Xenopus tropicalis: one gene and its partners. The protein of the gene in region 1 interacts with the protein of each later gene in a pairwise test. Links are inferred from orthologs where the notes say so. Each region holds a gene or a part of one and is shown on either strand. Other genes may lie near its edges.

The links.
Region 2: the proteins of ube2w (region 1) and rnf111 interact in a two-hybrid assay, tested with the Homo sapiens proteins (2 studies listed by BioGRID and IntAct). The link is inferred for Xenopus tropicalis from reciprocal best matches to the Homo sapiens genes UBE2W and RNF111.
Region 3: the proteins of ube2w (region 1) and rnf26 interact in a two-hybrid assay, tested with the Homo sapiens proteins (2 studies listed by BioGRID and IntAct). The link is inferred for Xenopus tropicalis from reciprocal best matches to the Homo sapiens genes UBE2W and RNF26.
Region 4: the proteins of ube2w (region 1) and pstpip1 interact in binary tests that used the Homo sapiens proteins (3 or more experiments, as listed by UniProt). The two-hybrid records come from large-scale screens. The link is inferred for Xenopus tropicalis from reciprocal best matches to the Homo sapiens genes UBE2W and PSTPIP1.

Annotation. Positions count from the first base shown.
Region 1 is NC_030682.2:121,373,447-121,378,420, forward strand, and holds the start of ube2w (ubiquitin-conjugating enzyme E2 W), read right to left. Parts: upstream 3,052-4,974; 5' UTR 3,009-3,051; coding exon 2,994-3,008; intron 2,957-2,993; exon of another isoform or gene 2,909-2,956; coding exon of another isoform or gene 2,879-2,908; intron 2,094-2,878; exon of another isoform or gene 1,887-2,093; intron 1-1,886. UniProt on the Homo sapiens protein: Accepts ubiquitin from the E1 complex and catalyzes its covalent attachment to other proteins.
Region 2 is NC_030679.2:99,170,081-99,175,119, reverse strand, and holds the start of rnf111 (E3 ubiquitin-protein ligase arkadia), read right to left. Parts: upstream 3,026-5,039; 5' UTR 2,863-3,025; exon of another isoform or gene 2,781-2,862; intron 1-2,780. UniProt on the Homo sapiens protein: E3 ubiquitin-protein ligase. Required for mesoderm patterning during embryonic development. Acts as an enhancer of the transcriptional responses of the SMAD2/SMAD3 effectors, which are activated downstream of BMP.
Region 3 is NC_030683.2:80,170,095-80,175,195, forward strand, and holds rnf26 (RING finger protein 26), read right to left. Parts: upstream 3,026-5,101; 5' UTR 2,950-3,025; intron 2,223-2,949; 5' UTR 2,089-2,222; coding exon 754-2,088; 3' UTR 644-753; downstream 1-643. UniProt on the Homo sapiens protein: E3 ubiquitin-protein ligase that plays a key role in endosome organization by retaining vesicles in the perinuclear cloud.
Region 4 is NC_030679.2:90,439,190-90,444,298, forward strand, and holds the start of pstpip1 (proline-serine-threonine phosphatase-interacting protein 1), read left to right. Parts: upstream 1-2,084; 5' UTR 2,085-2,182; intron 2,183-5,109. UniProt on the Homo sapiens protein: Involved in regulation of the actin cytoskeleton. May regulate WAS actin-bundling activity. Bridges the interaction between ABL1 and PTPN18 leading to ABL1 dephosphorylation.

The sequences.
Region 1 (4,974 bases):
ATCAGCAATAGTGTCCCTTTTGTGGAATGCAAGGACAGGTCAAAAACCGGTGTCCTGCTATATGTGACTTAACATTCCATAACCCAAACAATATGTAAGTTGTCCTTTCTGTTGTGTTGCGATGGTCTCCTGGTAGTTGTTGCTTAAACACAGCTACTTGTCAGACATCCTTGAAGTAAATAGAAGCCAATTCTTCCATTAATACATCCATTTAAGTGCTGTGTACCAATACTACTTACATACTATGCCTTTGTAACACAGGTAAGAGGTGATTAAATAAAATTACAGACCTTCAAAAATCCTTCTCTTTAAAGGCTGGGTGGTGGCACTGTGTGTTTACTCTAATGGCTACAATATTTAGAGCATATCAAGTCTTATATGTTTCAATTTTTACATTTTTATTTTGTAGTTATGTTGCTCTTGCTTTTCTAAATCTAGTTACTGTGATGTTTATTAACAAAGGCTAAGTGCCTACCGTACCAATATTGTAAGTGGATAATCTCCTTTTAAGAACCAAGAAAGGTTTGGTGTACTGGCCAGAAGCATACAAACTATACAAAGCATAGTGTCCCGGGAAATCAGCTGGGTTATCTTTTCTAGACACTGGTCCTGACTGGCCCTCTTGTTGGTTGAAACATGTCTATTCGGCTTTAAGCCAAATTCTGCACATCACAATAAACATTTTTTATTTACACTACAAGATACTTACAACATATTCTACCTACATGACTAACTTTATTTAACTCAAAACCTTGAAAAAGTAAAAGCATTAACTCCCACATAAAAGGATCAGGAAAATCACCTGTGTTTGGGGCCCGGAGGAGGAAAAGCCTGTATGCTAGTTCTGTCATTTACCAAGAGCCTTCAGCACAACCTCTACCATTACAACACTGTTCGGCAGGAAACATTTATTAAAAGGGACATATAAAGTACTGATCACTGTTTTATCAGATGCCCTTTTCCTTATAATATATGGCACCTGAGCTGAAGGGGTAACTATAGTGAAAATTATAATGTAATATAAACTACAAAGAATATATTGTTTTAATTCATTTTAACTGTTAAAGATACTTTCTATATTGAAAGGTACACAGATCAATGCACAAACTTACTTTAGATACAAGTAAGTAGTATCCTTGAGATCAAAAGAGATCATTAATTAAACTTGATATAGAAAGAATATGATCAAATAAATGACATTATCAAGAAGTCAATATGACAAGAAAGGTAATTTGCATTAAAGCGGTATTAAACACCAACCTTAAATAATTATATGGATAATGTACCAGGTTTATCAATGACTAAGCTTCCAAATAATTTAATAATAAGGGTAAACAGGTAATGTCTCCTTCCAACTAGAACAGACTATTCCAACTGACTGTCAAGTATATAATTTCCAAGTGTATGAGCTGCCACTTGACTATCCAGGGTGTTTCAAACCCATGGAATTTTCAATTGACTATAACGCAATGAGGTTCTTAGCAATTCTAAATATTTTGTTACCATAACTACTGCAGTGAACAGTCTCACAGGTCAATCCAATATGGTATCCAAATGAATCAAACAATAGGCGCTCAGACGCTCAAGCCTTACTGCTTTGCAGGCTTGGCGCATCGATCCCCAAAAGGTGGAGCCGTTTATTCACATAATCTTAATAATGAAGAGGAGATCACAACAGGCACAATAACTGCTTAATGAATTTATTTATGTCTATTACAGAACGTAATATGTGATAAACAGCACACAGGGGCCTTGTAACAGACATTAATAGATTCACTAAAGTTATTCTGTCCATAGAGCTCTTCTCTACATTATTAAGATGGTATCCAAAATATCAGCCAAACAGTCAGATAGCTGTATAAGGGGGTCATAGATGTAACTGCTACCTTTCTCTTCCTCTGCTCGGAACATCAGTAAGTTAAGAGGAACTCTGGCTCTTCATCTATGCACCATACACCGGCCAACTTGATGCATCGGCATATGAAACTTTCCAACCTCCGATGAAAGAACCAGTTGATAGCCATGATACATAGATACCAGTCAGGGCTGCATACACGTACTGATAATCCCACAAATCAGTGTAAGAATCAAAATACAGGACAGATCATGTCTAATAAATGTCAAACAACCATAATATTTATTTTATGGCCCTACATGGAGAAAACAAGGTAAGTGAAAAACAAAGTCAATTTTTGCACAAAGTATAAAGAGGAAGTAAAATAACAATCCCAATGATACACAGGAGTAAAGGGAAAATGCCGGCTTGTTCTGTCTTTTTGGAAAGGATTTGAATAAACTGGATAATTACTGCCCAAGTAAAAGAACTGGAACATAACAGGGACTTAATGTCCTACACAGGGGGAAGGGGATGCAGTATAACCAGGCATTTCCTACCCTACACAATAAAATGGAACATGCTGGGTGATTCATATCCCACACAATAAAATGGAATATGCTGGCTGATCCCTGCCCTACACATAATAGCAGCCAGTTCCTGCCCCAGATTCAGCTATAAAATAAAGTACTTATAGAAGCCCTGACCCACCGCACAGAACGTTGAAGGTACAGAGGAGAATATGTAATGTTCCCAATGAGCTGTCAAGCCTATGGGTCTCCAGCTATTATCAAACTACAATTCCCAGAAGCTACGGCAGGCAAGGCTATCGATAGGAAGGGGGGGTGTAAAGTTAGCAGGCTGGCACACCGAGCGTCGCACCTCCCACACCAGCTATACAGGTGAGCTGCCAAGCCGCATCCCCACGGAGACAAGGGGAGCCGTTCTGAGCGGAAGGTTCCCTGAAGCTGGCAGGTAATTGCAGAGGACACAGATAGGGAAGCCAGAAAAGAATGTCAGGAGTAACGAGAAGCAGAAACAAACCCACAAACCACGGCTGGCAGTGCTCTCCATAGAGCCCACTTCCCACTCCCGGTAATATTCCGCTGCCAGCCGCGAAGATCCGGGTCGCTCCGCTTAAAACTCTAATAACACTCACCTGCATTGACGCCATGATGGAAACCCACCCCCTCCCTCTTGGGCGACGCTACCGCTCACGTGACTCTACGTCATCTACAAGGAACTGCCTGCGCCCTTGTGAGAGTAAAGCTGCGCAGGCGCACTGGCTCAGCGCTTGTCCTTCTGGGCATGCGCAGTGCGGCATTAAAGGCAAATATAGTCTGTGTGTGCAGGACATGGACTTGTAGTGATTGTTTCGCTGCAACCTGAGCTTGTGTTAAGCTGGCCATACACGTGGCGATATGAGGATGATGGTCGCACAAAACATCGTCAGATCCGCCACACACAGTCAGGGCTGAAACAGCAGATAAGGAGGTAGAAACAATAGGATTTCTACCTCCTTCTGCCGATTCAGCCCTGACCGCAGATTTTGCTCAGGCGCCTTCTATGGTGCCCGATCAAAATTTTCTAACCTGGCCGATCGGCGAGTTGTCCGATATCAGCAGCTTCCTGCGATATCGGTTGACATGCCGACATGCCATACACGCACCGAATATCGTACGAAACCTCGTTTCGTACGTTAGTATCGGTGCGTGTATGGCCAGCTTTAGAGCGCTGTTAGGTTTAGTCACTGCACAGAAGAAGAGTTGTTGCTTAATGACTGCTTCAGTCAAAAGGAAATAGGTCAGTGTAACTCAATCATTTCTGACAGGGATAATTTATGTAGCCGCTATTTGGCTATAAAATAGTCAAACCCAGGCTAGTATAGGTATTAGAGCATGGGCTACATGTGACTCTCTTAAACAGGATGGGCCTTTGCTAGATGGAAGTGACCAGCAGAGCTAGGGTGTAGTATAACTACAACTCACTGTAGCTGTCTGCAATGCAATTTAGTAAAGATAGACGCAGGTTCTTGCAGTTAAACTATAGCACAGATTTATTGTCAAAGACAAGTAGCAATGCAGGGTTAGATCAAATACTCACCAACAGATGGTATACGATAGTAATACTCTGAGGACAGAACAGCTGTTTATCCCACCTCCTTTAGAGTCTGGGCAGGGTAAATGCACCTGGTCAGCTTGGCACCCCTTTGGAAGCAGTCAGGATAGATACCTCAGTCCTCAGTTTTTTTAACCTGTTTTCTGCTGAGATCTTAATGACGTATCTGTGGTTAATTTAGTGTTACATTTTCTGCGATTATATTACTGGCATGTCTGAGTTTAAGGCAGTTTTTCGAATCCATTTTCTGAAGTGATCTTTCTGGCATGTCTGAGGGTCTAATGCAGTTCTTTGAAACCATTTACTGCAGTGATCTTATTAGCATATCTGGGGTTATTTAAATGCATATAATCTATTAACGTCAGTGATCTTACTGAAATATCAGATGTTTGTTTAGTGTTCATAATCATTTTCAGTTGTGCAGTGCTTCTTAAGTCTAAAGGGTGCTGTGTATGGCAATGAGGATGTGGTCTTATTTATAGGGCCCTAAGCTTCACAAAGTGGCAGCATGCTTATGCAATAATCCTCTATAAAGCGTTATCATTTGCATCATCTTCTGATATGTGCTGCTGAGTAGATGTGGATGCGCAAATTAGTGACATGCATGTGCAATAACATTATATCCCAATATCCCATACATAACATGCGACTCTTCTACCCTGTTGCCTTAGTTTTTTTACCTTTCTTTCTTTAAAGGAGAAGGAAAGGCTAAAATGTTGGGACCCCCAAGTGACTTTAATCGCTTACCTTGTACCCGGGCTGGTGCCCCTGTTAGGAGGAAACAGCACCAGCCCGGGGTACCTGGAGCGCTTCCTGCTTCGTTTCGCTGTGACTACACAATAGGCGCATGAGCAGTAGAGTGAAAAGACGACTTCTATGTTAAAGTTCAGCTTTTCACTCTACTGCGCATGCGCGTGCGAGCGATACAGGAAGGAGGAAGCGCTGCCGGTACCCCGGGCTGGTGCTGTTCTCTCCTAACAGGGGCACCAGCCCGGGGGAAAAGGTAAGCGATTCAAGTCACT
Region 2 (5,039 bases), on another chromosome or scaffold:
AACTGTTAGTCAATATTGGGGACAACATATGGCATATGGCTGCAGGTATCAGACAGTAACACAGAAGTCATCCATACTTGTGCACAGCATTTCATTCACTGCATTTCCAAATGTCATGCAGGCAACGAAAAGCCCCTATGCTACTAGCAGGCATATGAAATATGTTCCTGAACTTATCAACTATATGCTGAGCAACACTCTTAGCTAAGGGCAAGTGGTCTATGAGAATAAGGATGGTTAACAGAGTAACACACTAGAATTTAGATACAAAGGATCATAAATGAGGAATTCAGGAGTTGGGAAACTGCTGGTGTCTACAATTCAAAAATACTGTAACAGATATATGCGATTGCTGCCTCTTTCATATAAAAGTAATACGAGTTGAAACAAAGACGTTTAAACCTATGACTAAGTGCCCCATGTAGGCACAAAACTCCCCAGCACTGTTAAAAGGTGTTGAAACTTTTTATGAAATTATTAAGCAGCAATATTTGATTGTGGTCCAGTTTGGTGCCAGTCTATCTTTGTAAAATTTAAACTGGATATCTCCTTAAAGCAGTTCAGTGTAAAAATTAAACTGGGTAAAATAGATAGACTGCGCAAAATAAAAAATGTTTTAAATAAAGTTAGTTAGCCAAAAAATGTAATCTATAAGGGCTGGAGCAGGCAGATGTCCAACATAATGGCCAGATCACTACTTCCTCCTTTACAGCTTTCTAAGCTGTTAGCAGTCAGTAACTTAAGGGGGCGGGGGATGTGGGACATGACTGTTCAGTTAGTTTGCATTTTAATCCGACCTGCATACTCACAAATTAACTGAACAGTTATGTCCCAAGTGCCAAACCCCCCCCCCCCCCCCCTTTCCCTAAAGTCACTGACTAACCAAGAGGTTAGAGAGCTGACATCTGTCCACTCCAGCCTTTATAGATTACATTTTTTGCCTAACTATATTGCAAATATTTTTTATTTTGTGCAGTTTATCCATTTAACCCAGTTGAATTTTTACACTGAACTGTTCCTTTAAGCTGAAGGTCTGGGACAGGGGCACTTTAAGCTATTTAAATGACCACATTCCTCTATTTGTATGAATTATAGAACATTATTCACCTACATGTCAAAGCTTTTGTATAACTGCTTTTTGTCCAATATTTAGACATAGTTGAGGGCCTGGAGAAAAGATCTTAAATGTCACATGTTGCATAGCAATATAAATACTAATATTCTTTTTATAGATTACTAGTAAAGGCAAGACTATTAATTTCCAAACAGATGTATTTCTCTCTGCCTAAAATGAGCCGATGACTGCAAGGTAAGTAAACACTAGGCCAACACATAAGGGCCCATTTATGAAAGCACAAATTTTTATTTTCAGAATTTTTTTTTTTTCTAATTTATAGAACTTTTCATAATGACCACGATAATATCATTAAAACTGCAATACTTTTTCGTTAACTTCCATGAAAAAGTCATATTTTTCGCAAAGACTACGACCATTGCGGAATTCATTCAAGCTTTGGTATAGTGACTATCTTTTGGCCAGGTTGGATCTGTAGAGTGCCATTGAGTCCTATGGAAGGCTTCCAAAATCATGCATTGAAGTTTCAAAGCCAGAAAGGTTTTCGCGCCATTTACGATTGTTTGGATCCAAAAATGTTGTGACTTTCGGATCGCAACCACGATATTTTCTTACGACCGGGAAAAGAAACTGACATTTTCAAACATCAGAAATTATTGTGGTTACTCCACATTTTTTCCAATCGTGCTTTTCACCACCCAAAATTCGTGCTTTAATGAATGGGCCCCTTAGTTTTTCCATGGGCTGGTACATTTTCCACCGAAAAGGAGCAATGGCCTGCATAAAAACTTAGTGATTTAATCAACTCGGGGGGTTCCTAACATTTTGGTACACCTCAGCAAAACAGGCTTTCCTTGTCCTTTAATAAGAACTCGAAACTAACCAGGATATGCAAATGCAAGTATTTCTTTTCAAATATCTGAGAGCTTACTTACAAATACAGTTACTAAACAGCACAAGTGTAGCTGCCAGTAACAACCAAACAGCTTAGAACAGGAACCTATAAGTTACAAAATGAAAGTAATGATACGATTTGTTTTGATATGTAACTGCACTGCCAACTCAACATTTATCATTTTAAATGCCCCTTGATGAATATCCAAAACAAGATCCAAACAAGAAGCACAGGAACAGGAAGTAGCTTAAGTGCAAGAAATTATCCAAAGAACACATTCCCTTTAAGGACAATGACAGATGTGGCATTTTGTCCCCAATGGTTTGCAGCGATGGCAAAATGCCTACAAATTACCTCCGTTTGTGGATAATGAGAATCATTGCAGATATAAAAGTTAAATCACTTAACTGCACAACTAAATTCCTTATCGGTTATTGCCCTTAAAGTTGAAAATGTAATTGTGAGATTGTGTCTCTTCTAACTGGGAACCTATTCCAGATCAATAGCACTCTTCATGTATGATGGTTATTCCCTTAATACGAGCTGCTCATGGAGAGAAATTGTGTTTACATTTTAATCAGGTACAAATACATTTCACCATACAGAACCAAAACAAATGGCCATGAATACAAATACTGTACATAAGTGGCAAGAAGCCTGCGAACACATTCATTAAGATAATAATACTAGTGTCAAGCCTATATTAACCATCCATATATATATAGATATAATACAATCCTGATTATATATAAATAACCAAGGCTTCCAGGAAATGAATGTAAAAGATGCGATGTTGAGCAGTTATCATACCTCCCTCAATACGAAGCGTCTAGCTCGCTAGGCCCGCCCGAGAAGCCCGACTGCAGTAGCGAGCCCGCCCCGCAGCACATACCTGCTTCAGCCTGGACATGAGCACGTTAGTCACTCCGGACTCGTCGAGGTTCCTAATCTTTAGCTCACTTTGGATCAGTCGTAATGGCCAAGGAAGCCATGTTAGGTAGCTACCTTTGGACACTAAGATGCCGCCGAGTCACGTGACGTCGAATGCTTGCGCCGCAAAACCCGGATGGTACAGTCACGTGGGCTGCTAGCGCCTCCCTCCTCAGCGACTCGCTTGTTGTTTACGTGGTGTGGTAGCGCTGATGTGCGCAGGATATTTACCACTAGGAGATGGTGTCAGCTCTCGCTGATATATTTCTAAGAGTATATATATATTTTTCCCAAATGCAACTCTAATTTACTTTTAGGCGTTCCCCTAAAAGTCAGACTTTTAGTTTATGAACCCTTGCATTACATCTTTTAAGCTTGTAAGCCATAGTAAGCTTTACCTCAGGTATGACACTTGTACTGTTGGACCAATAGAACATATCTAGTCCTGGCACTTAAAGGACAACTAAAGCTTAACTTAAGTAGTGCAGAAATGTTGTAAATTATATTTTAAGCTTATGCACCAGCCCAAGACAACTGCAGCCAATTAGTAGGGAATATCAATGCCCCATCTTTTCTGCTGACTCAGGTCACATGCTCTGTGCTTCTGTCACTTCAGGGACCCACCCACAGCATACGGTATATATAAGATATAAATGTAACAGTATAAGGTTGATGAGTAAATAATACAGATTAGTGCAAGGATGTTCTGAAGCCGGTGTAATCTGCATGAGAACAGTAGCATCACCCTCAATGACAGGCAAACATCATTTTCTGCTTGAGAATTTGTGAAGACCCTCTAAGCCAGGGGTGTCAAACTCAATTGCACAGGGGGCCAAAATCCAAAACACACTTTAGGTGACGGGCCGAACAGGATAAACATTTAATGAACACACTAAGGCATACCTCCCAACATTTGAAAAATGAAAAGAGGGACAAAAAGATTTGGCGCGCGCAGCGCGGCAAATTTTTTTGACCACGCCCCCTTTTGTGGTCACGCCCCAATTACCACACCCCATTTTTAAAAAAATACCCCTTTTATATAGATCAAATGGCGGGAGCAGACGCAAATGTGCTATACCCTCATACTGAACGACCTAAGGAAAACAATACAGCAACTCCTACATTAAAATACAAATATAGAGAGAAGGCAGTCAGTTATAAGTGAGTTATAACTAAGTACCAGTTTTTCCCCCCCATACACAGTAGCCCGCCCCATACACAGTAGCCCGCCCCATACACAGTAGCCCCCCCATACACAGTAGCCCGCCCCATACACAGTAGCCCGCCCCATACACAGTAGCCCCCCCATACACAGTAGCCCCCCCATACACAGCAGCCCCCCCATACACAGCAGCCCGCCCATACACAGTAGCCCCCCCATACACAGTAACCCCCATACACAGTAGCCCCATATACACAGCAGCCCCCCCATACAAAGCAGCCCCCCCATACACAGTAGCCCGCCCATACACAGTAACCCCCATACACAGTAGCCCCCCATACACAATAGCCCCCCATACACAGTAGCCCACCCCATACACAGCAGCCCGCCCCATACACAGTAGCCCCCCATACACAGTGCCCCTATACACAGTAGCCCCCCAATACACAGTGCCCCCCAATACACAGTGTCCCCCTATCACAGTAGCCCCCTATCACAGTAGCCCCCTATACACAGTGTCCCCCTATCACAGTAGCCCCCAATCACAGTAGCCCCCTATACACAGTGTCCCCCTATCACAGTAGCCCCCTATACACAGTGTCCCCCTATCACAGTACCTCCCATAGGAGCTCCGCCTTCTTCTGTGGCTTCGTTATGCCTCTCCTTGTGCAGCGCGACAGTCCCTTTTATAAGGTTGCGCCTGTGCGTAATGACGTCACACCCACAGTCGCAACCTTATAAAAGGGCATGTCGCGCTGCACAAGGAGAGGCATAACGAAGCAGCCGACGAAGCAAGAACATCCGGCTACAGCAAGCGCATCCCGCTGTGCAGGATAGTTCCATGAATGTCCCACAATGCGGGACATTCATGGAACTATCCGGGACAGCGGGACACGCCATAAAAAGCGGGACTGTCCCGCGAAAAGCGGGACAGTTGGGGGGTATGCACTAAGGGGCAGATTTACTAAACCACGAAC
Region 3 (5,101 bases), on another chromosome or scaffold:
AGAGTCTTTATAGAATGCATGTAATTGTATTTGTCAGACACCGGGATGTCATTACTAACAAAGTGAAACATTGTCTGCCATTTGTGCTTTATGCTGCAAAGGTGTATTGGTCCTAAAATATCTTTGCTTCTGACATAACTGAATTAGACATTTAGGTTTTGCCCTTACCACCCACAGACAACCTCACACTCTATATATTTTCCCCATGGCAAAACTGGAAACCAAAACATACAGTAGTTCTCATCAAATGTTTCCTGATAATAAAGAGCATTTTTATCTTCATGGAAATTCAACATATACATTGAAATGATATTTAACAACTTTTGTTAAACAGTGAATGAAGATAATACAGTTTATGGTCCCATAGCAAGAAATGTGTTACACCGAGGTAATCAGTAACGTCAGAGACACACTGTTGTGCGCTACCACATCATACAATCATTAAGTTGTGCGCGATCACATCATACATTCATTAATATTTACTGACATTATATGCCACCATTGTCCAAAAAATAAGTTATAGAACAATGAACTATTTAAAAACTCAGCAGGCACGTTGAAAGTAAGGAAGTTCATGCATTTGTGCATCTTTGGAATTGCCATAACAGATGTCCTGCAGTGGCTTAAAAGAAGGCAGTCCTGGTAAACATTTCAAAATATTTAATTTTTCACATTTTCTCAACCTATTTAAATCCTTTAGGTCAGTGTAATCCAAGTCAGTGTCCAGCATAGTGATAACTCATTGCAGGATGGTCAGATATAGACATTTAGAGTTTGCAGAATCATCTGTCTACACAGTGGGCAGTTGCGCTGATGGACAGGCTGCTGCAGAAGGATCTCTGTGCAGGAGGCACAGAGGCATAGGTGGCGGCAAGGCAAAAGGAGCACAGTTTTATTTTCATCTTGGCAAATAACACATTTTTTGCTCTCTTCCTGCTGCTTCAGTAACTTCCATGGATCTTGCGAGGGCTCTCCTCTCTTTGTGAATGCTGAGCTGGCTTGAGGAATGTGTGTTGCAGGTTGTGTGTTCTGTACCCTGTTAGGAACTGTGCTCTGAATAGGTCTCAAAGGCGGATTTTGCTCTCTCATGGGAACTTGGTTCCGCTCCCTTATTCGTGCTGGATTCTGCACAGTGGCAGGCCTAGCAGGTGGATTTTGTATCCTGGTTCTTCTCAAGTTCCATCCTCTGACCAGGGTTGCTCCATATATTCTAAACATTCGTATTATCTGAGCACTTTTTGCAATAACCCTTCTCAAAACCTCACAATGCAGCAGTGACCAGGCAAGCACAAGGGCCATGCGGTATATCTGAATTACTTTCAACTGAAATTGGCGTACAGCAGGGGAAGGTCTAAAAATGATTCTGCAAATAATGGCGAGAAGCAGAAATATAAGAATCTTGTACAGGTGTTGATAAAATATTATTCCTACTCCCCTACTAAGTGATGCAAAGCCATCTAAAATCAGTTGACAAGGCGTCCACAAGAGAATTGCCACTGCCACAGCACTGTTGGAAAACTGAGACAGCAGCATAAACATTAGTTCTGCTCCCATTAAGATGACATTGACCATGGAAAGCCATAGAGCCACTGCAGCTGATAAAATGTTTTGGATGGCAATAAGACATATGTTTACCAGGCTATTAACCAAGTAAGCTGCCAAACCTCCAGTGATACTTAATGCTTCCCAGAAATTCCTGTGAAAAGTCTGTACAGAGAATGTGATATTCAGCAGCCCTCGATGGATCAGCTCCCTACTGCGGAATAGTAGGTGGCACAACAAGTTCCATATCAACTTCAAACTGTCTAAACCAGCAAGGCATCCCCATAAAGCATCCACTAATGTCTGCACTGTGCCCAGTGCAAGGCTGCAGGAAGAATCACCAACCATAAGCACAAATCCCAATACAGCTTCCCACAACTGAAGAATGCCATTGGTCAGGGTCCAGGGAAGGTTAAAGATAAAGCAAATGGTCCAACACAAAACTGATACAACAGAGGAAACAAGCATGTAATTTAAGTCCAGCAACAGGAACAACATGTCCAGGGTCCAGCCAAGCCCATTGAGGAACAGAATGATTCCCTGCATGTCTGAAGAAGTATGAAGCTGTTAGCGGGTGAGACATAGGGGAAAGAATTCCCCTTCATGGACATGCCATTTACTTGGATCTCCAGGGCCAGATAATAGGCAGTACTTCCATCATAGTTATTTTCTTCTACTTCCTGCAATAAAACATAAGCGGTTTAGCTATTAAACATAAAATGTTGTATTGCTGATTTTGTTATAATGCAGTGTAGGTATATAAAGATTATGGCCCTCCAACTGTTCTTAAAGTAGCAAATCCTTTTTGTTTGTGGGTGGGGTCGACCCGAAGCTGCCCGACCTGAGGGTTAACTTGTGGGCACTGGGTCGGCCCGCACATCACTAATGGGCAGATAAGCTGCCAAATCGTTCTGACGGGCCCAAATTGGCAGCAGAAAGCTGCCTGTGTAAGACCACCTATACACACACGGAATACAATATGGAACCTTGTTTCGTACAATAATATTGGTGCATGTATGGCCACCTTAAGGTCAATGTTGTGGTGGTTTAGTGTGAACAGAGAAACAACTGTGGCAGTCCATTATTGCCGTCAATGGGATACACAACAAAGTGCAGGCTTTTCGGAAGGCAGGGCAGGAGGTCACCAACAGCTTCCCCCAGTCACAACAACCGCCATTTACCAGTTTCTGATATAAAGCATCATTATGAGTAATGCAAACAAACGTGCGGTAGTTATTATTACTTGGTAAGACTTGGGAAATCTTTGGCATCAATACCTTAATACCTACTAAGGAAAAGCCATACAGCACAACCACTCATTCCAGTCTTACCAGAACGGAGCAGTGAGGACAAAGAAAACACAGACATCTCTTACCAAATACAATAAGGAATAAATGCTTGGCATACCTGCAAAAGGCCAGATTTTACGACACTCACTTCCGTATAGCTGTTTATATGTCCCGCTCCTTGGCTTCTATCGGACGCGCTCACAATTGCGTCATAATCTCGCGAGATTCCGACGTCGCGATTTTCACTTATACATCGGTAGTAACGCGAGGTGCGCCAGTAGGGGGCGGGAGAGTTCTAATGCAGGCATATGGCGGAATGCTCTGCCCACAGCTCTGACTTGTGCCAGGGAGCAGAGAATAGAAACTGGTGTTTAGCAGCAGTACGAGCCGGCACCACGACCTCCTCTTCCAGTATTTTACCTAAAGCAATTCATATTTATTTTTGATTGCTTGAACTCCTGTTTGTGCCAGGGGTCAAAGATAAATACGTTATTTGACCCAAGTGCAATTCATTTGTTTTATCTGCTTGGAGATTGTTTCCTGCCAGGGAGCAAACCACAAAAGAACTTTGCACCCAATATCTTCTATCGCCAGAGTCTCTGCCCCCGAAGTTTCTGCCACAACAAGCATTTTTAAGCTTTCTGACGCACTCTTAATGACAAGCAGCTATATGGCGGTTGTCATGCCCACTTTCTGCCCATTTCTTGCCTCCATGATGTCACAATTATAATGGCGGTAATTTTCAAACAATGATTTATTCCAGTGCAAAAGGCACAAATATCAAAGGTCAGTTACATTTTGCTGAGGCTAAGGCCAATGGCACAGGGAAGATTAATCGCCCCATGGCAAATCTTCATTACCACAGGCAACTAATCTCCACGCAATGCCATCCCATGATTTCCCGAATCTTAGCAACGCATATGCCATCCCACCGGCGATTTACATTGTTGCCGGTGGGATGGCATTGCGGAGAGATTTGTTGCCCACAGTTATGAAGGTTTGTGGTGGGGCGACTAATCTCCCCGTGTGCCACTGCCCTAAGTATTCCTGCAGACAAGATACCCAGCCACTTGTGTAGACCTTGTGTGCTCTCTGGAATAAATGCAGCCTATGTGCTTGAACATCAATATTTTATTTTAGGCTTTTTTTCTGCCAGGTAGCAAAAGTGTTATTTTCACAGGTTTTAGCAGTTACTAAACAACTTTAAACTCATACAGTACTGTAAAACATTTTGCATTTAAAGGAGAAGGAAAGGTAAAAACTAAGTAAGCTTTATCGGAAAGGTTTACGTAAAGGAATGCGTGATCTGAGCTATAACGGCTAGACTGCAAGGAGGAAGCTATGAACACTAAGCTAAAATGGCAGCTGCAATCAGAGAAAGCTTCTAGGACTCTTTACTCAGGAATGATAAAGCTTGCTGCCGAATAAATATAGTGTTCTAGGTGGCACTAATGTGGCAAATCTATTGGCAGTAAAATGCCAAAATGACTTTCCTTCTCCTTTAATGCATGTCTTTGCTAAAAGTTTGAATATCACTATAAATTAATAAAAAGATGCAGAAAAGAACACTGTACATAGCTGTATTGTTCCATCTAAAACAAAAATCTATACCCTTTTAACCAGGATCTGCACCTTTTACATGTGTTTCTGTTGCACAATTACAAATTCCTCATTCTTGTGCATATGAGGCAATAATGGTGATGCTGACCTTCCTAAGATAGTGCCTGTGATCACAAGATATGGGGGAAACTTTGATTTCTAAAGTAAGCTGTATTTTCACCTTAAAATTAAGTGATTTGCTGTGGAGAGGCATAAAACATTGTAAAATGCGGGAAATTCATATGTAAAACCCAGGAATAAAGCCCCTAGAGATACATTAAAATTGGTGGAACCACAACAAAACGGGTTAAAAGGTGGGAAAACATTAGATCCGTGGACGTAAATTCGGGGTGCTACTGTATATCAGCATTCTGTTAATAACCTGAGGAGCTGTCTGGGTCATGAGTCATGTCATGAGTTCATGTATGACACTTTATATTGCAGAGTTATAGGAATAATTACTTTCTAGAGTTGCTAACTGGCCACTTACTAGTCATACTGTGTATATAATGTGGTATGGTATGACAGGTTGAATACATATATCTAAAGGTCATAGCTTGCTTGAGTTGCAACCTTAACACTTGAAAATTCCAGACATTGATATACAAAGATACTGTAAGGGTATACTAATATTTTCCTAATAAGACTGATTTTTCTCCCTGTGGCTCATG
Region 4 (5,109 bases), on another chromosome or scaffold:
TCTCAAGCTGCAGGCATACCTTCAGTTCTCTCAATAGTGCCCTTAAGTCTCTCCATAGTTCTCCCGTTCAGATGATCAGACGCCAAACAGGAAGAAAAAACGCTGAGCCGTGTAAAGAAATTTCCCATAATGCCTCACTCCTGCACCGAGACCGAGTGTACATGCTCAGTTAATAAGACTATGAGTCAGCTTCTTGCTTATTGATTTAGATCCACATTCCTAAGGGGGGGGTGAGTTCTTAGCATTCTTGAGGGAGGGGGAGCAGGAGAGAGCAGAGAGCGGCGTGTCTCTGACACAGGAATTACAGACACAAAATGATTTGACAGAGAAGTCAGTGCAGCGTTTCTGTAAGTGCTTATGGCTGTATTTACATAGACTTTTTCGATAAAGCTTACTTAGTTTTTACCTTTCTTTCTCCTTTAAGCTACAGAGATCCAAATTGCAGAAGACCCCTTATTCAGAAAACCCCGGGTCCCGAGCATTCTGGATAACAGGTCCTATACATTTACTAGAGTCTAGCAGGCTAATGAGGGGATGGCAAAGTGTCAGCTGCAAATTGTCTGCATAGAGGCTTATATTATAATTCTTGTCTTTTTTTTTTTTTGCTGTACTAAAGATCTCCAAGGACAATATCAGAGGGGACAATGGGCAGCCCTGCTGCATCCCTTTATTAATAAAATAAAAGCCTTTAGACAGCTGGTTTCTTACTGCCATTTAAGGGGAAGCAAATTAAGCAAATACTCCAGGACCAAATGTTAAGGAAGTTAAAGGCTTTAGTGATTAAAAAAAATGCTGCAAAAAAGTCAATTTACATATTTTAAATGTTTACCAAACTCAAAATTTTGAGATTTATTGATTAAAAATTACTGCAAATTTGAAACAAAACTGGTGAGCTTCGCTTAAAGTAAATGGGAGGGACTTTTAACATGCAAGCTACTTTATAATTAGAGTTTTTTTGTTAAGAAATTGCATTTTTAAAAATGAATGCAATAAAGTGTTTTTTTATGGTGCACAAGGTTTCTTCATTTTGCAATCAACAATCAGTGTTTTAAATGTGAGTTTTACAATAATCTACTGGAAATTTGATAACTACAGCAAACTGGTAAGTGAAACCTTTACTTTTGTCTTTGCCCTGTTTAGTAAATAATAAACATATCTATTTCTTAAGATTATAATAGGCAAAAAGTAGGCTAATAAAACGCCTCATTCATTGAGTTAGTGTTGAATGAGGCCATTGTAATGCAACATTTGCACACACTGGCACATAAATATATGTAGCAAAAAAATCATTGAGCAGATTTATTTTCTAGTAACACTAAGGGCTTTGGCACAAGGGGTTAGTTGTGATCTGTGATGACAGTGAAGCTGTTGCCGCTCACCCAGTATCATTTACCATCCAAGTAAATTGAAAGCAGTCCAGGTTGTGGAGTTATTGATTGCTGCCACATATCGAATGTGAGCAAAGGTTTGGTTATCTGATAAGGAGTAAAGTTTTTTTTAGACAAGTCTTTGTTCATGACTGTGACCGTCTATGCACATAGACTTCCTGCCTCATAGTGTGCAGTCTATAGCGTACTAAAACAGCTTTTATAAACATGACTACCAAACCTCCCAACATTTGAAAAATGGAAAATGGGAAAAAAAGAAATGCCGCACGAAGCATGGCAAAATATTTTTGACTACACCCATTTTTGCGACCATACCTTCTAAATACCACTCCTATTTTACTAAATTTGGCAGGTTAGTAAAAGTTTGAACACATTTCTGGGGATTTGGGGTCTTGTTATATATATTACTACAGTTTTGCTAATGAAGGTGAAATTGACCTTTAAGCTGCAAGTCTCAATTCCCTCAAGAGACCTGTTTAGCTTATTAGTTACAATTGTATCTCAGTGCAGGTGTGGCTTGTTAACTTTCTGGGCTCTCTGCCAAAAGCCCACTTATTTAATTAAGTCTGAGAAACAATGGATCTAAGTGCAGGTGAAGCTTGTTAAGATTTCTGGGCTCTCTGCCAAAAGCTACTTTTTAATTAAGTTTGTTTTTTTAACTCAGTGCAGGAGATCAAGGGGAAAGAGGGACTTTTCAGTAACAATCTGGGACTGTGGGCTGAGCTGTTAAAGGAGGGACTGTCCTGCAAAAATAGGGACAGTTGGGAGGCCTGGACTACATTCATTAAAATGAGGTACATAAAAAGTTTACATGTTTACAATGATTAGATGTTTACATGATATTCCTCCGTGTTCATAGTACTAACTAACTCAAAGCTTGCAATTCTGCCACTTTTTAAACAGAACATCAATGGGTTGGGATCAAGGCAGTCCATTTGCCATTAGGAGTCACAGCACACAACCCCCTCTCAAGACTCAACTCCTTTTTAAACCATACATACAGCAAGAAAGAACAATATATTCAGTCCCTAATGAAATATGGGGAATGCTTGCTGTACTTACATATATTGGTAGGTAGAGCAGCCCCTATTTTTATTCTTTCTTCCATCCATTCAGTGTGTGCTTCTCTGACAGTCTTTGGCATCTACAGTTCACTTTACTCCATACTCCTACTAAAATACTCCCCTTACTCCCCATCCCTTCTTCATTCTATAAATTTTTCATTCTCCTGCCATAATGGTGCCCTTTGATTTCCCTTTTTCCCTTCACCCTTGGCTTTCAGGGCTGTCTAGCTGGCCACCCGAGTGGTGTTGCAAAGTAAACTGAAAAAACTTCAGATTCATTGTTTTTTTTGCCTATGTGTAATTTGCTGCTGAAAGCCTTAGAGATTGTATAGGTCCTCTTAATTCCTAAATAAGCATCCTCACCATCTTAAATTTGACACAGGTTGCAAAGTTTAAGGACCCCTCCATTGGGAACCATGGAAGCTGTAAGGCTGGAAAAATATTGCAAAACATTATTTGAGAAAAGAAAATCATTTATATGGGTTGATGGTCCCTTTGACCTAAAGGGTCTCCTGCAGCTGCACTGGCTGCAATATCCTATATATCCTACTATATCCTATTTTCCCACAAGATGGAGTAGTTGTCCACAAAAATATCATAAAACAGATAAGTCATTGTCCCTCCAATTAACTTATTTTTTGAAAATGGCTTTCTTTTCACAGTCAGTATTTTGTACGTGATTTCGACTTCCTTCATTTTTAATTTTCAGTTAGTTTAAAGACATTGGTGGAGTATGTCCTGCCTTTTTCAAGCCTGGAGTAAGGAAAGTCAATGTTTTTGACCCGCTAATATGCAATTTTGGCAACCTGTGTGTAAGATTTAGTGCAAAGTCTTTAGGATTTTATTACATTGCATATGTGCAAGTCTCCTCAAAGTCAGCACAGAATAAACCCATATTCCTCAGCATTTAACTTTTTTTAACCTCCCTGGCTATAGTTCAGGTTAGTGCTTAGCGTCAGTAACTTGGTTGCCCCCTTTAAATTATTTTGGTGCATGTTGCAAAAAAGATGGTTTAAGTTCAGGTTTGGTTTGTTTTATACTTGCTTATCACTAGCTAGGTTTTTCCAACTATAATGCACGCTGAACTACAAGTAACAAGAGAAGAGTGGAACAATGCACAGTTAGATAAAAGATCTACGTGTTGTTCTGTGAGATGTAAAATGTAAGATTCAGACCCAGACTTTAAAGTGAATCTAAAACCGAATGGAACTAGCAGGTGTTCAGGTTCTGGGTCATGTTTGGATTCTTTTTTTTTTTTTTTTTTTTTAAACTTAAATTGTATTAAAGACTCTTTTTTTTAAAGCGGACCTGTCACCCTAAGAAATAAGTCCAAATTATTTTCTATATTGTTAGTTGAGCAAAATAAACTTTACTTACTCTATATAAATAATATAAAGCTTGTTTCCTTCCGTCTTGGAATTACTCAATCAAAGCAAGCAGGCAGGCACCATTTTGTGGACACTGTTATTAAGGCAAGCTTTGTATCATGCCAAAATCTTGTTTATGTGATAGAATGGGGGGCCTGATGCCCAGGCCCACACACTGGCTACACAGTTAGATAAGGAGGAGGGAGGGGAGAAGTGAGATGTATATGTTATATGTCAAGTTTACTCTTTATTATTATTGCTAGGCAACTTTGGGGAGCCTTAATGAAAATCCACCCAAGTCTAGGACTGGCACAAATTGAGTTTATACATGTTTGTACAAACAGTGTGACCAAATGAATGGAGGTATTTCCCCTTGCTGCTTGTAGGGTCAGTTATTCTTTTCTTAAAATGCATTTATATCAATCCATACTCATGGAATGCTGAGAAATTTTACACTGTATAATACACCAGCACTCCATTTTTTGGTTTTATGCATTAGAGTGCTGGCACTATATGAACTGATATACTGTATATATATTGTATAGTTTCTTTCATATGTCACTATAGAGACCTGTTACATGGAGATCAGTTTATTGTAACAGAAAAAAATACAAAACATATCTAAACACATGAAGGAGTATAACGGAAATTCCACTCCAGCAGCATGAATGTAAAATGGATAAATCTCAATAGTACAGATAATTTTAATCATAAACATCCTTATATACTCCATATAGGACATGTGGCTATTTAAAGGAAAACTATACCCCCAGAATGATTACTTAACGAAGAGATAGTATAAATAATACTTACTGGCCTATTAAATTTTCTCACCATATTTCAATATATATATATATATATATATATATATATATATATATATATATATATATATATATATATAGCAAGACAATGAGCCGCACACACAGGGACTTTGTTAGAAAACAAAAAAATGTAATGAAAAAGATCTTGCTATACACATGGTTTTTGCAAGCACCCGTGGCATTTGATTATTATTAGGGTGTGCTCTGTTCTTTTTTGTATATATATATATATAATGAACAGAGAGGAGCACACCCTTCACTAAACCAAATGCCCTGGGAGGGTGCAGGTAAAACATAAAATATAAAGAACGGGTACTTCACACACAGAGACTTAATGTAAAAGAAAAAGTGTTTATTGAAAAAAAGCCAACGTTTCGAGCACAGTCTGTGCTCTTTCTCTATACGAAAAGGCAGGCACTTACGTGTAAGAAGAATACTTCGCCTGGGTGCAGTCAAGGAATATGCA